Regions from separate parts of the Mus musculus genome. Here regions 1, 3 and 4 are each reported to be linked to region 2. Evidence: microRNA targets listed by miRTarBase, many of them from high-throughput screens and not tested one by one. Region 2 holds a microRNA gene; each other region holds the end of a gene's coding sequence.
What was found. The annotated mature microRNA mmu-miR-547-3p reads CUUGGUACAUCUUUGAGUGAG and lies in region 2 at 1,139-1,159, shown strand. An mRNA with a match to its seed (bases 2 to 7 or 8) in the 3' UTR can be bound and repressed. Matches are read on the target gene's strand: a 7mer-m8 pairs with bases 2 to 8, a 7mer-A1 pairs with bases 2 to 7 and ends in A, and an 8mer does both.

Region 1 (3,193 bases), not on the chromosome of region 2:
GGGTTGGGGCGAGCTCATTACTTGCAGGCGGCCCTGCAGAGAAGCCAGAGGGCGGTGTGTACTGTGGTGTCTTATCGATGCTGGAGTGTCCTCAAGCCGGGTGCAAGAAGAAGCTGAGGGATAAAACCGCCCTGAGGAAGCACATGCTTGTCCACGGGCCCCGGCGGCACGTGTGTGCAGAGTGTGGCAAAGCCTTCACGGAGAGCTCGAAACTAAAGCGACATTTTCTGGTGCACACCGGAGAGAAGCCGTATCAGTGCACGTTCGAAGGCTGTGGGAAGCGCTTCTCCCTGGATTTCAACTTGCGCACCCATATCCGCATCCACACCGGGGAGAGGCGCTTTGTGTGTCCTTTTGATGGCTGCGAGAAGAGCTTTATTCAGTCAAATAACCAGAAGATTCACATCCTAACCCACGCAAAGGCCGGGAAGAAATGCTGAAGGTGGAGACAGATTGTCCTCAGGCTGGGTAGTCTTAATGACAGAGGCACTGGGGATACACGCATTATGTACAGATTGTTATTTGTAGGGATAGATTCTATGGCTAAAATAATTTTGCAACTCTTCATTATACAGTTTTAAGGCCTCTTTTGGTATTCCATGGTATAGTTCCAACAGGAAAGTCAATGGTGAAAGCAGTTTCAAAAGCATAACCCTTACTATATGTGCTATTGAAGGGGATGGGGACTTTTGCATACGTCGGAAAATCAGTTATTTTTAACTATGCAGTTCCTAATTGCCTAGCTTTTACCTTTAGAAATATGCTTCATGGTAAATTTGATAATCCTAAAGAATGGCCAACTTTGGCAGTAGTCAACAAATGAATACATATTTCTAAATTTTATGTTTTGATTTTTGTTTTTCTCATTGTACCAAACTATATTAATCATAGTTAAATGTGAATAGTTACAAAAAAGTTGATCCATCTGAAGATTTTAGATGTTTCAAAATAAAAGGAAATAAAACACTAGAAATGAGTTCAATTTCTGGGGAAAAAAAAGTGCATTAAGAAGACAATAGCCAGTCATAGTGAGTGGTTCATAGCACTCAGGAGGCCGAGGCAGGCAGATCTTTGAAATTGAAGCCAGCCTGGTCAGCCCTGCCTCTGGGCTCAGCTAAAGCTCTATAGAGGTACCCTGTCTCAAAAAAAGAGAGACAGACACAGAGCACTTCAGAAAGGGTGGGGTGTGGTGGTATACATCTTTGATCCCAGCATCCAGAAAGTATAGGCAGACAGATCTCAGTGAGTCTGAGACCAACCTCGTTCATACACAACAGCAAATGTCATGTCAGCTCAGCCAGAACTAACAATGAGACTTTCCCAAAGGAGAGTGACTAGCATTCAATATTGATACACCAGTCCATTAGGGAGAGGTTGTCGAAGCTATTTTGCTATCATTTCCAGGCGTTCTCTCAAACTTTTGAAGTCCACCAGTCCACAATGACAAAAAATCTACCTCAAACACCAGAAATGTATGCTCTTGTAGTTATGGAGGCTAGGAAGCCACCAGTCTAAAAGCAAAGGATTGCTCTCCTGAGTGGTGGACATTCATGTTATGAGTTTACTACAATCAAATAGTACTTCCCAGAACGGGCCAAGATTTTGTTTCCCACTGTGCTGTGTCATGGAGCATCATTGGCCCCTCCTGTTTCTTTGTGCTGAGTAACGCTCCGCCCTGAAGACCTCCTCTTACACATCTATGAAAAGACCTCTCTTCAGATAAGATCACATGATCTGGTTCCGAAGTCCTGGGAGTTCAAGGTTTTTTAATGTCTGAATATTGAGGAGGATACAAACCCATAAATTCTGTGCAGTCCTCTTGGCCCAGTCATTTTTATTTCTAGAGTTCTTTAGAAGTGCTTAGAGTCATGTTTGAAAGTATTTCCTCAAGGATATTAAGGAAGTTCTATTTGATTGTGGTAAATTCATAACATAAATGTCCACTCAGTAAAAACATTTACCCTAAATCATGCTAGGTCTCCTCAATGAAATATGCAAATGCTTTAAAGGACCCTACAAAGGGAAATGGGGAAAAGGGTCATGTCGAGAGGGGACCCATAATTAAGGAGCTTTGTTGTTTATAATAGATAGGATAAACTTGAGTGCATGCTAGGAAAGGAATTCGAAGCAGTTAAATGCGGACAAAGGAAAAGGTAGTGAGGAACTCTATTATAGGATTAACTTATTTGTATTTGTATAGTTGTGAAGTGAAATGAGAAAATGAGCATCCATTGAACCTGCACCCCCACCTGCCAGTCAATGTAAGTGACTTGGTTCTGGTAAAAATGCCACAGTTCAGCTTTAGTTAGATGCTACTTTTTTGAAGATTCACCATATCCCTGGAAGTTAAAGCACATATTTTAGGAAAAGAAAAAGGGATGAATGACGACTATCAATTAATCTTGATTTCTTTATAAATGCCAAAGTTTAAAAGCAACCTGTCTTTGAAAAATCAGAGCCTATAGTTTGACTTCAATGTGAAGTTTTTGCTAATATGGACTATTACAGAATGTTAACTAGTATATATTTGGTAGGACAATTCTATCATTTTTATAGGAATGTGGATCCTGAAACTCTAGATTAATATCAGTAAAGTAGTGCACAAAAGCCATTCATAAATTTCAATTTTCTTCTAAATCTAACACCTGCATACAGAACTTAAGGCAAGTTTAATCAAGGTGATGGATCATGTGCCTAGCTGGTGTTTGCTTCTGCCAGCCTTGTGTCTGACTCCATCCTTTATGGATTCTAGTTTCAGAGTAAAGATTAAAGACCAACCAGAAGATGCAGAGATTAGGGAGCAGGCTCTTCAGACTGGAGCCTCAGAGCACTCAGAAGGGTAAGGTTGGCTCTCCTTGTAAAGGTGGGTCTGCTCTGAGCTCCTTTCACGAGAAAAAGTCTCTAGAAGTTACAAGATGTTCCTATCTGGATTTTGAGGCCTAGAAAATGGGATTTTATGTGTCTAGCGTGGCCCTTCTGTCTCTTCTCCCCGAAGATGTAGGTGGAATAGCAAAGGTAGAGGACATGGAAAAGAGGCTAGGTATTGAGGGGTCACACTTGGAATACTTTCTAGTGTTTTAGTTTTTATTTTATGTGCATTGGTTTTGTCTGCATGTGAGGGTATTGGATCCCCTGGAACTGGTGTTTAGAGCTGCCATGTGGGTACCAGGGTCCTCTGGAGGAGTAGCCACTG
Region 2 (3,193 bases):
TTTATGTCACCAAAACTAGAGAAGAATTTAGGCATGAAGGAGAGGAGAGAAGCTGCTCAGCTTTGTCTCCAGCTATTATTACAGTGTGCCATGGCCTAGACTCATTATGCTTTCGGTATCTACTCAGCATTTCTCTGTGCAGAGAGTACCAGCTAGTCCTGCTATACGTTAGGTGGCTACAAGAACTCTTGTGGTTTTTAATTTTAGGTATTGTCTGGAATTAGTGTGAAATGAAGCCAAGAATCCTGTATTTATGAGTAAAGAGATAGTCTCTAGGCCCTTTCTTTGAATGCTACAATTCATAGAAATTTTTTTTTATATTTACAATGTAGTTTTTTGTTGTTACTGTTATAATTTTCTTTGCTTGAATTTTCTGAGCTGTATTTGAATATACTGCATTTTTGTATGATCTTTTTACTCCTGTATTATTTGTGACTTTATATAAGTATTCTTTCAAGTTCTGAATGACAGTTTAGATCTCCTATTGCTTACTTTGTTCTCTTTTCAGGATTTTTTAAATTTTACTTGCACATTTATTTTTATGTATTCCTTGTTTACTTTCTTTATTTTTGACTTGTAAGTTTATGGCTGCTGCTGCCACTGCAGTGGACTTTTATCTTGGATAAGATGATACCAAGCCAAGATCCACATTTTAGAATAAGAATACCTCAAGTTTCTGAGCTTACCCTTTTCAGAACTATTCCTACTTAATTTAATGCAGCCTGCAACATGTGGAGCTAATGAGTTACTGAAGTGACTCATTCTGCAAGAGCTGAATTTTATGTACACAAAGTATAGGGTGATGAAAACTCTATCCTATATCTATAAAGGGAAGATATGAATGGGGATATCTGATATTTCCCAGTCATAAACTCTTATGTTATTATATGGACAGAACACAAAAATGACTTAAGGAAGACTTGGGTAGAAAAGAAGGACAGGGGTGGTAAAAGAGAAGTAAGAGGAATGAATGTCATTCGTGTCTTTTGAGAAGATTCTTCTGATGATTCATGTAATGAGGGTGTGTATTGGCTTACTAGATGAAATGGCAGAGGGAACAGACTAGTGTTAGCACCTTCACTCATGTAGTGTGTGATGTATCACTTGAGGATGTACCACCCATTTAACAGGAAACATGCTTGGTACATCTTTGAGTGAGATAACACACAACAGCTACCACCTCAATACTGACCCTAGAAAAGGGGCTTGAGTCTCAGCATAAGCTATTTTTTTGCTACTTCAACTCATAGTACACTTTGGAGAATGCTGTATACAAGAAAGGATTGACAGCAATGTTCCCTGGGAATAGAGTCATCTATTTTTCATTGCTTTGTGTTTATGTTAAGATGAGTTGGCTACTTTCAATGATGCTGTGTACAGTACCTTACTCAGTAAGGCATTGTTCTTCTATATTAATAAATGAACAGTGCCTTTCTGTGTAGGGTAATGTGCAACATGGACAACATTTGTGGTAGCATTGATAGTAAGTTTCAGTCATAGATCAGTAATGAACATCCAGCCTTGGGTTATTTCTAAGTGCTCTCTTGTATACCTCTTAAGGAACCAGATCTAGAAACTAAGAGTCTCTTAGAAAAATGTTTGTCCTTTCAAGTTGATATTACAACTAACCAAGTGGAAGGCAAGATATATCGTTCACTTTCACCTTTTAGTCATACATCTTTATATAGTTAAACCATTTATTATTTTAAAGCTATAAAAATTTGTACCTCTATGATATTTTTACAATATTTGTTTCTTATGTAAGCAAATGCTACTTTTCCCCTCAAGAACAAAACTCATTCTGATTTCTTTCAGTATTCTTGTGTGCTTTTGATAACATCCTATCTATGTTTATTTGCTAAAAATCATATCATTACAGGTGGAAATACTGACAGAGACAGAGATAAATAGAGGCATCAGGTTGTACTGTTTTGTTACATTTCTGTATTAGGAGAATCGAGATATGTCAATGCCCCCTTGCTTGTAAACTACATCAAACCCTTCTACTATATTCCATTTTATTTCAAATCTAATGCTTTTAGCTAGAGTATATCTATTTAAAACTTCTAATATGTGTCTTCAAAAGAATGATAGGAGTAAGTTCTCCATATTTTAAGCCACAGTTTTGCTCATTCTGATACTGGTCCAGGCATTTCTTTCAATTTGTTCCCAGTTCAGATTGAGATAATTTCAAGTAACTAGCTGTGTGCATCCCAGAATAGAAGATGGTAGATTATACTGATAATCATCATGCATGAAGGGAATGGTCAAGGAAACCAAAGAACTTAGAACAATATATGGACATTTTTAGAGTACATGATTTTTTTATTCCATAAAGCTTTCTTGATAACTCAAATGGGATTTCCGCATTCTAGACTGTGAGTAGGAAATGGGATTTCCATTTTCTCCATTCTAGACCTTATAAATGATTATATTCTTTGTTTCAGGTATCCTATACGTGCATCATTATTGTTTCATTGCTCAGGAGTTGAGGATCTTTAAGTGGTAAGGTACAAAACAATAAAAACCATGTCTCTGCATGGCTCAACACATATTTGTTCCTATTTAACACCTTAAAGTTTCAGATATATGTTTGTATGCAGATGAGTGCCCTTATAACACTTGTCAAAATCTGCAGATATAGATGACAGAAACACAGAATTGCCACAGATCTCATTTACCAACAGAAATAAAAAAGAACCTCAAGAATAACTACTGTAAGTTAATACTACCTCCTTTTTTCCTTTCCACATTTTTATTAGATATTTTCTTCATTTACATTTCAAATGCTATCCCCAAAGTCCCCTATACCCTCCCCCAAACCTACTTCCTAACCCATTCAATACTGCTTCCTGGCCTTGGCACTCCCCTGTACTGGGGCATATAATCTTCACAAGACTAAGAGCCTATCCTCCCAATGATGGCTGACTAGGCCAAGGTCTGCTATACATGCTCTGGGGGTACTGGTTAGTTCATATTGTTGTTCTTCCTATAGGGTTACAGACCCCTTCAGCTCCTTGGGTATTTTCTCTAGCTCTTTCATTGGGGGTCCTGTGTTCCATCCAATAGATGACCGTGAGCATCCACTTCTGTATTTGTCAGGCACTGGCATAACCTAACAAGAGACAGTTATATCAGAGTCCTCTCAGCAACTTAGAATACCTAAGATACAATTTGCAAAACACATGAAACT
Region 3 (3,193 bases), not on the chromosome of region 2:
AGTCTTTCATTGACTATGTTCACCAGACTGGAGGCAGGTGCCTACAGAACAGAGGTCTGTGACTACTCGACTCTCACCCCCCTGCTCCCCACCATCCCAACCTCCCTCTTCTACTGCCCTCTTTCCACCTCCACCAGTGGCCTCTGTCCTGCTTCCTCTCCTGACTTCTGCCTCTCTTCCTCCTTCTCTGATAGCCACTGTCTCCTTCCCTGTTGGCCTCCCTCCTCTGCTGGCTTCTGACGTCTCCCTCTTTTCTTCCTCCTTCCTCCTTCCTCAGGCCAACCTCTCTCTCTCTCTCTCTCTCTGCTGGCATCCACTCCAGTGCCTCCTCTGACCTCTCCCTCTCTTCCTCCTCCTTTTGTCTCCAGGTTCGGGACAAGAAGCTCTTGAATGACCTGAATGGAGCTGTGGAGGATGCCAAGACAGCACGGCTGTTTAACATCACCAGTTCTGCTCTGGCAGCCTCCTGCATCATCCTTATCTTCATTTTCCTGCGGTACCCACTCACTGACTACTGAGCTAGCAGGCAGTGGGTCTTGGCGACACAGCACTGAGACTGATGGTCACTGAGATTCAGGATGCTGAGATTGTGGGGCAGAATGGGCTTCCACCAAGGCCCAGAGCCATGCATGGCAGCAAGGTCACCAGAAGCTGAGTGCCCGACCGAGTGGCGCACTCTTCCCAGCCACCCTATCTGCCGCCTGCCCCTGTCCTGCTGGCACCGGGTCTATGGGCTTCCTTCCATGATGCTGCCCAGTGACCAGTGGCTGCCCTCCCTGGCCCATGCACCCTGCCCAGGATCCTGGACCCCTCAGACCTGACACCCAGCAAGAAGGGCTTACACGGGAGCTCCCGAAATAGGGGCTGCCAGCACCTGGGGTTCCCTCACTCCTGACCCCCCACTTCCTCCAAGCTGTGACCCCTGCTCCAAGCTCTTGTATCTGTGAACTTTCATTAAAACATGTGCTCAGCTCAGCTTCAGCCTCTGTCCATGTGCCAGGCAGGGCCTAGGTGTCCCTTGGAGGTTTGGAGTGCTGCTTTGCAGCCTATGCCCCCAGGGCCTGCACACAGCTAATTCCGTAGGAGGTGTGTTCAGAAACCAAGTGGTCTTATGAGGGCCAGCTGTGTAGGATGGCAAAGTGAGGGGTGTTAGGTGGAGGGGCTCCCCACAGGGTTCACAGAGCCATGCACCCTGTGCAGAATCCAGGAGAAGCTTCCTTCAGTAGTGTTGGGGACAGGCTGCCAGTCCCTGGGAAACCCACAGGGTGCTGATGGGTTCTCATCCACTTAGCCCCTGAAATGGGGAAAGAGGCTCCCCTGTCTGTCAACTGAAGGTGGCTGCTCAAAGGTCAAGATTAGCTGTGCTGCACTAGGAAGTAGTGCTGCCCACAGAAGGATGCTGCCCCATGTGCTGAGGGTGGAGCAAGCAGGAAGGCAGGAACAGGACAGTGCACAGAGTGGACCGAGTCCTGACCCTGTGAGGTCCTGGTTGGCCTTGGAAAAAAGAGATACTGTGGGGCTCTAGTAGGGGCCAATGGTGTGCTCAGTGGTGTGGACGCTTGGCACCCTTTGCGGTTTCTGATCATACCCTTGGAGGTATCGGGAGTGTCAGGAGAAGACAGGCAAGAGCAGATACCGTTGCCGGCTGTGGGCAGAGAGTGTAGGTGGGGTTAGTGGAGGGCTGGCCAGATGCAGAAGCTTGAGCTGGTTCTGACCAGATGGGGTTAACCAAGAATGAGAGATGGGGGCAGCGCAGGGTCACCGGGAATTCAGTGCAACTGGTACACTGAAATATAAGCAAGCAGCTCCTGTCCCTCTGTCATGCCCTCTCCACTCTGAAATCACGAGTCAAAATACACTCCTGCATCACGATGCTTCTCTTCAGGTATTTGAGCACAGAGATAAGAAAACTATTGCACGCTGTACAGCAGTACAGGAACGTTAACCACTGAGCAAAACTTTCAAGCAGCCAGAGCGAGGGTCGGTGGGGGACCAACACATTATTTCAAAGCTGCAGGGAGAGGTGGCTTTTCAAAAAAAAAAAAAAAAAGATGGCATAGCTAGCATCTGTGGGAAATGATGTATTTCTTGGGACTGGTTCTTGGGAGGCAGGCCATAGGGTTCCCAGAACACCTTTTTTTTTTTTTTTTTTTTGGTAGGAGATGCCAGTTATGAAGCGTTTACACTCTTGTTTTTATCAGAGGCTCTGCCCCTGTGGCTGCATGCCTCCCTCCCCTGCTGCCTGGTGTTTGTCGCTGCCAAGCTCATGGTGAGATTCAATGGCAGCTTCAGCTTGTACCACCCTGGATATTTGTCACCTCTAGTAGAGTCCTCACCACTTCCTATGGGGCTGTTGTTCTTTTAGCCACTTCCTTGTCAGCCAGTGCTTGGTGGGTGTGGCAGGTAGCGCTCTCCACATCTTCCTGACACCCCTCATGTGACTACAGCTTCTCCTCTGTAACTTATCAACAGAAGGCATCTGCACACTGGAGAGGTGGCTCCGCAGTGACACGTGCACTGCCCTTCCAGAAGACTCAGGTGCAGTTTTCAACACACATGTGGCATCTTTCAAACATCTGTAACTCCAGTTCCAGGGGTTCTGAAGTTCCGGCTTGCACACAGTGCACATATAGTCGTACAAGCAAATAAGACAATAAATATTATTTTGAAATAATTCTTCCTTTTTTTTTTCAAGAAAGGGGGGCATGGGGATGAAAATCCACCTTATATGACTATCAAAGTACCCACTCGTGGGGTGCTGGTGGGGATCAAATGAGCATTTATTTTCCAGATTTTTAAATCACAGATTTTTTTCTATGTAGCTTCCATCCAATGTGCATATTTATAGCATGTTATTCACAAATGCTACAAATATGAGACAACCAAAACACCCATCTATATATGTTTTCTTATGCATGAAAAACATGTACCCAAACATATCTTGGTTTGAGTTTCCAGTAACTTCCCTAAGGGAAGATGTCTTAGTTAGGGCTTTCATTGCTGAGCACAGACACTATGACCAAGAACTCTTCTTAAAAAGACAACATTTAATTGGGGCTGGCTTACAGGTTCAGAGGTTCAGTCCATTTTCATCAAGGTGGGAACATGGCAGCATCCAGGCAGTCATGGTGCAGGAGGAGCTGAGAGTTCTACATCTTCACCTGAAGGCTGCTAGCAGAATACTAGCTTCTAG
Region 4 (3,000 bases), not on the chromosome of region 2:
GAAGCCACTGACAACATGCTGGAGCTGTCACACCCTCTTCTACAACAGACTGAGGACCAGTTCCTGTCCCCAATCCTGGCGGCCAACTCCCCCCTGATCAGCTTCTCCCCGCCCTTGGACCAGGACGAATACCTGTGGGGCATGGACGAGGGGGAAGGCATCAGTGACCTCTTCGACTCCTATGACCTTGGGGACCTGTTGATTAATTGAAGCGTCCTGCATCTGTCTACCTCCTCACAGACAGATTGACAGGCTCTCTGCCCAGATGGGGGACACCAGACACCAGGTGTCACCCTCCGTCTGCGCGGCTCTCTTCCAGCCTTCCTTAGGGCGGAGGCCAGCTAGGGAGATGTGGAGGATTCGGCTGGGGAGTGATATCAGGGCTAAGCCCTGACCCTCCTCTTCTGACCTCCGACCCCTTCATGAAGGACTACGGGTGCAGGTGGCCATGTTCAGGGAAAGGGCTCACTGCCTCCTTCTGAGGGGCAGGGGGACCCTGACTTTTTCAAGAAGCACTTAACGCCTTTGTATTTATTTCTAGTTCAGATGTGTTTGTTTGTCCACCCTGAGTTTTAGCAGGGAGATTTGTTCTAGTTTCTCCTCAGACAGGCCCACCCACGCCCAGTGCCTAAGCGCACATCTGGGCTTCCAGGGGTCTAGGCCAGCTCCTTGCCCCCCGTCCCCCCGTCCCCCCAGTGGTGCCTGGGTCTTGAGGGGACTATCCAGTTTGCTTGAATTAATTGCACTTAGGCTTTGTAATTTTAGAAAATGCCAGGCCCAGCCAAGGCACCGGCTTGGAATTCTCCATCTCCTCCATCCTAGAGAAAGTTCCAGTAGCTACTCTGGGGGAGGTAGCCAAGGGGGCTGGCTTCCTATTGGATGTCTTATCTTTCCTGAGCCTCCCAATGTAAATGTAGGCCTTCAGGAATTAGCCCAGAAGAGCTCCTGGGAAAAGCAGGAGGCCACGCCCGTGCCTCCTAGATGCCCTTCCTCAGGAGGTCAGAGACCTGGAAGGTGGAGGCAGAGAGGAGTGAGAAGAAAACAAGAAACACCCTGGGGTCTGCCCATGTTTCCCTGGGAGGATTATTTTTGTTTCTTGGTTGCAGTTGGAGGGGGAAGATTCCTTAAACACCCACTGTCCCAAAGCCCTCACTTCACTTCCAAGGTCAGATGTGACAGGAGCTTGGTGACAGGTTTGCACCTTTCCCCACTGGAGTGCTTCGGGGGTGAGGGGGCAGGGGTGGGGTGCTCTTCCCTGCAGACTAGGCCTCAGCAGCTCATGACGGGATAGGCTGGCGCCTGCCACCTCTCCTGGCATGGGGATCTGGGAAGAGCTCTTGGTCTCTCTTGTTCTGCCCATAGACTGACCATCCAGGGTTCCTGTGGTCAGGAGACGGCAAGAGTCCGCTTTTCTTCCTCGCCTTTCCAGGCATGGAGAATGGGCTTAACCAAGGCCACGTGTCCAGAGAGGTGTACCCAGGGGTGACGGGGTCTGAGAGGCCTTCCACCTACCCTCAGGGAGCCTGGGTTTCTCAGGGGCTCAGTGGGGCAGCACTTTTTGCTTGTTGTTGTTTTAAGTTTGTAGCATTAAATTGATTTAAAAGATGAAGTTGGCTATGCCAGGTAGGTCCGAGCTAGCTGACTGGGAATTTGAAGTTTGGATGTTGAGCTAATATGTACTGGTGCCCATTTGGGTTAATTTGTCTTATCCTCGAGTCAGCTTCCTGGTGCCACAAACTTAGTCCTGTCCGAGGAGTGGTCAGCGACTCACCCCCCCCCACACACACTTGAAATTTGTCTATTTTTACACCGAGTGTCCAACCTTTTGACATATGTGACCTCGTCGTCTCTAAAGTTCACCCTCAGGAACTGCATAGATAAGCTACCAAAAAAAAAAAAAATCTCATGATGTTTGAAGTACGTTTACAACTCTGTGTTGGGCTGTGTTCGTAGGTGTCTGCGACCCGTGCTGCAGGTTAGATACACCTGCTGCAGAGATGTCCTTGGTCTCTACCAAGCGAGGGGGGTTTCTCAGACCACCCAGAAAGCCCAGTGTGCTCTAGACACAGGGGGTCCCTTGAGTGATGAGGGTGCTACCTGAGATCTGGTTTGATGCACATGAGGCCGGAGACAGCATTGCTGTTTCCTGGTCTTTGCCGTTTAGCTGTGCGCCAACAGAGATATCTGACCTCTGTGCCTTGGGCTCTGGGTGGAGGAGAGCTTGGCTTAGCGAGAAGAGGGCTGCCATTCCTGTCTGGTGTGAGGTTAAGAATACAGTCCAGATTCAAGTTCAGTCAAAAGACCCAGCGCAGGGATGGATGGAGGCTTCCCCAGTCTTTTTGATCTCTGAGCTCTTTCTTATCAACCCTGCCTGGTCCAGGGGCTGGACCTCCCGGGAGAAGCCCGAGGCTAGCGTGGGAACAAGCTCACACCTCTTTCTTGCCAATGATACTTGAGACCTCTTTAAGTTCCTTAGAGTGCTTTAAAAGAACGGGGTGTACCCCTTTTGGAACACTGTTTTGAGTGGTATGTCTTTTAGGCCCTAGGGAAACGTTCATGCTAGGGTGGGAAAGCTACCAGTTTCTTTCTGAGGGGAATACTTTCTTCAGGGAAGTTTCCCAGCCCTACCAGTGTCCCCTGCTGATATCCCTGGGGACTCCAGAGCATTTAGCAGAATTAAACTTGTAAATAGGCTTGGAGATGCACCATTGAAGATGTCAGGCTGAGTCCCTTCTCTGTGTGGCTGTGAGGAGTGGGAGTTTGGGGGAGTTTGTAAACTATTTCAGGGGGTGCAGTGTGGTTTCCCCTCCCTGTGAGGCCTCAGCCTCTCTTCTGCACAGATTCCGTGTTGTAAAGAGTTTGCTCATGCCGCCATCGGTGTGCTATAGCTTTAACGCTTCTGAAACCTCTGGGGTTGATTAGAAGCCGGGGCTTAAGTTTCCGTCGTACCCAGAGGCCCCACCTCACCCAGGTCGTCTCTTCTCCCACAAGGCTCTTCAG

Region 1: the mRNA of Zfp42 is a reported target of mmu-miR-547-3p. Seed matches in the 3' UTR shown: 8mer at 869-876.
Region 3: miRTarBase lists Ifitm10 as a target of mmu-miR-547-3p. The part of its 3' UTR that is shown has no 7-base or 8-base seed match.
Region 4: miRTarBase lists E2f2 as a target of mmu-miR-547-3p. Seed matches in the 3' UTR shown: 7mer-A1 at 1,884-1,890.

The regions. Positions count from the first base shown.
Region 1 is chr8:43,292,843-43,296,035 of GRCm38, reverse strand. It overlaps Zfp42 (zinc finger protein 42), which reads left to right. Exons shown (of 4, transcript NM_009556.3): 4 at 1-969. The coding sequence ends at 440. Among named protein-coding and RNA genes, the nearest start is that of Zfp42, 13 kb to the left of the region's middle.
Region 2 is chrX:67,986,349-67,989,541 of GRCm38, reverse strand. It overlaps Mir547 (microRNA 547), which reads left to right and starts at 1,091; the gene lies at 1,091-1,168. It overlaps Mir201 (microRNA 201), which reads left to right and starts at 1,381; the gene lies at 1,381-1,446.
Region 3 is chr7:142,353,290-142,356,482 of GRCm38, reverse strand. Ifitm10 (interferon induced transmembrane protein 10) reads left to right here. Exons shown (of 3, transcript NM_001347541.1): 3 at 369-975. The coding sequence ends at 518. Among named protein-coding and RNA genes, the nearest start is that of Ifitm10, 19 kb to the left of the region's middle.
Region 4 is chr4:136,192,828-136,195,827 of GRCm38, forward strand. E2f2 (E2F transcription factor 2) reads left to right here. Exons shown (of 7, transcript NM_177733.7): 7 at 1-3,000. The coding sequence ends at 210. Among named protein-coding and RNA genes, the nearest start is that of Asap3, 12 kb to the right of the region's middle.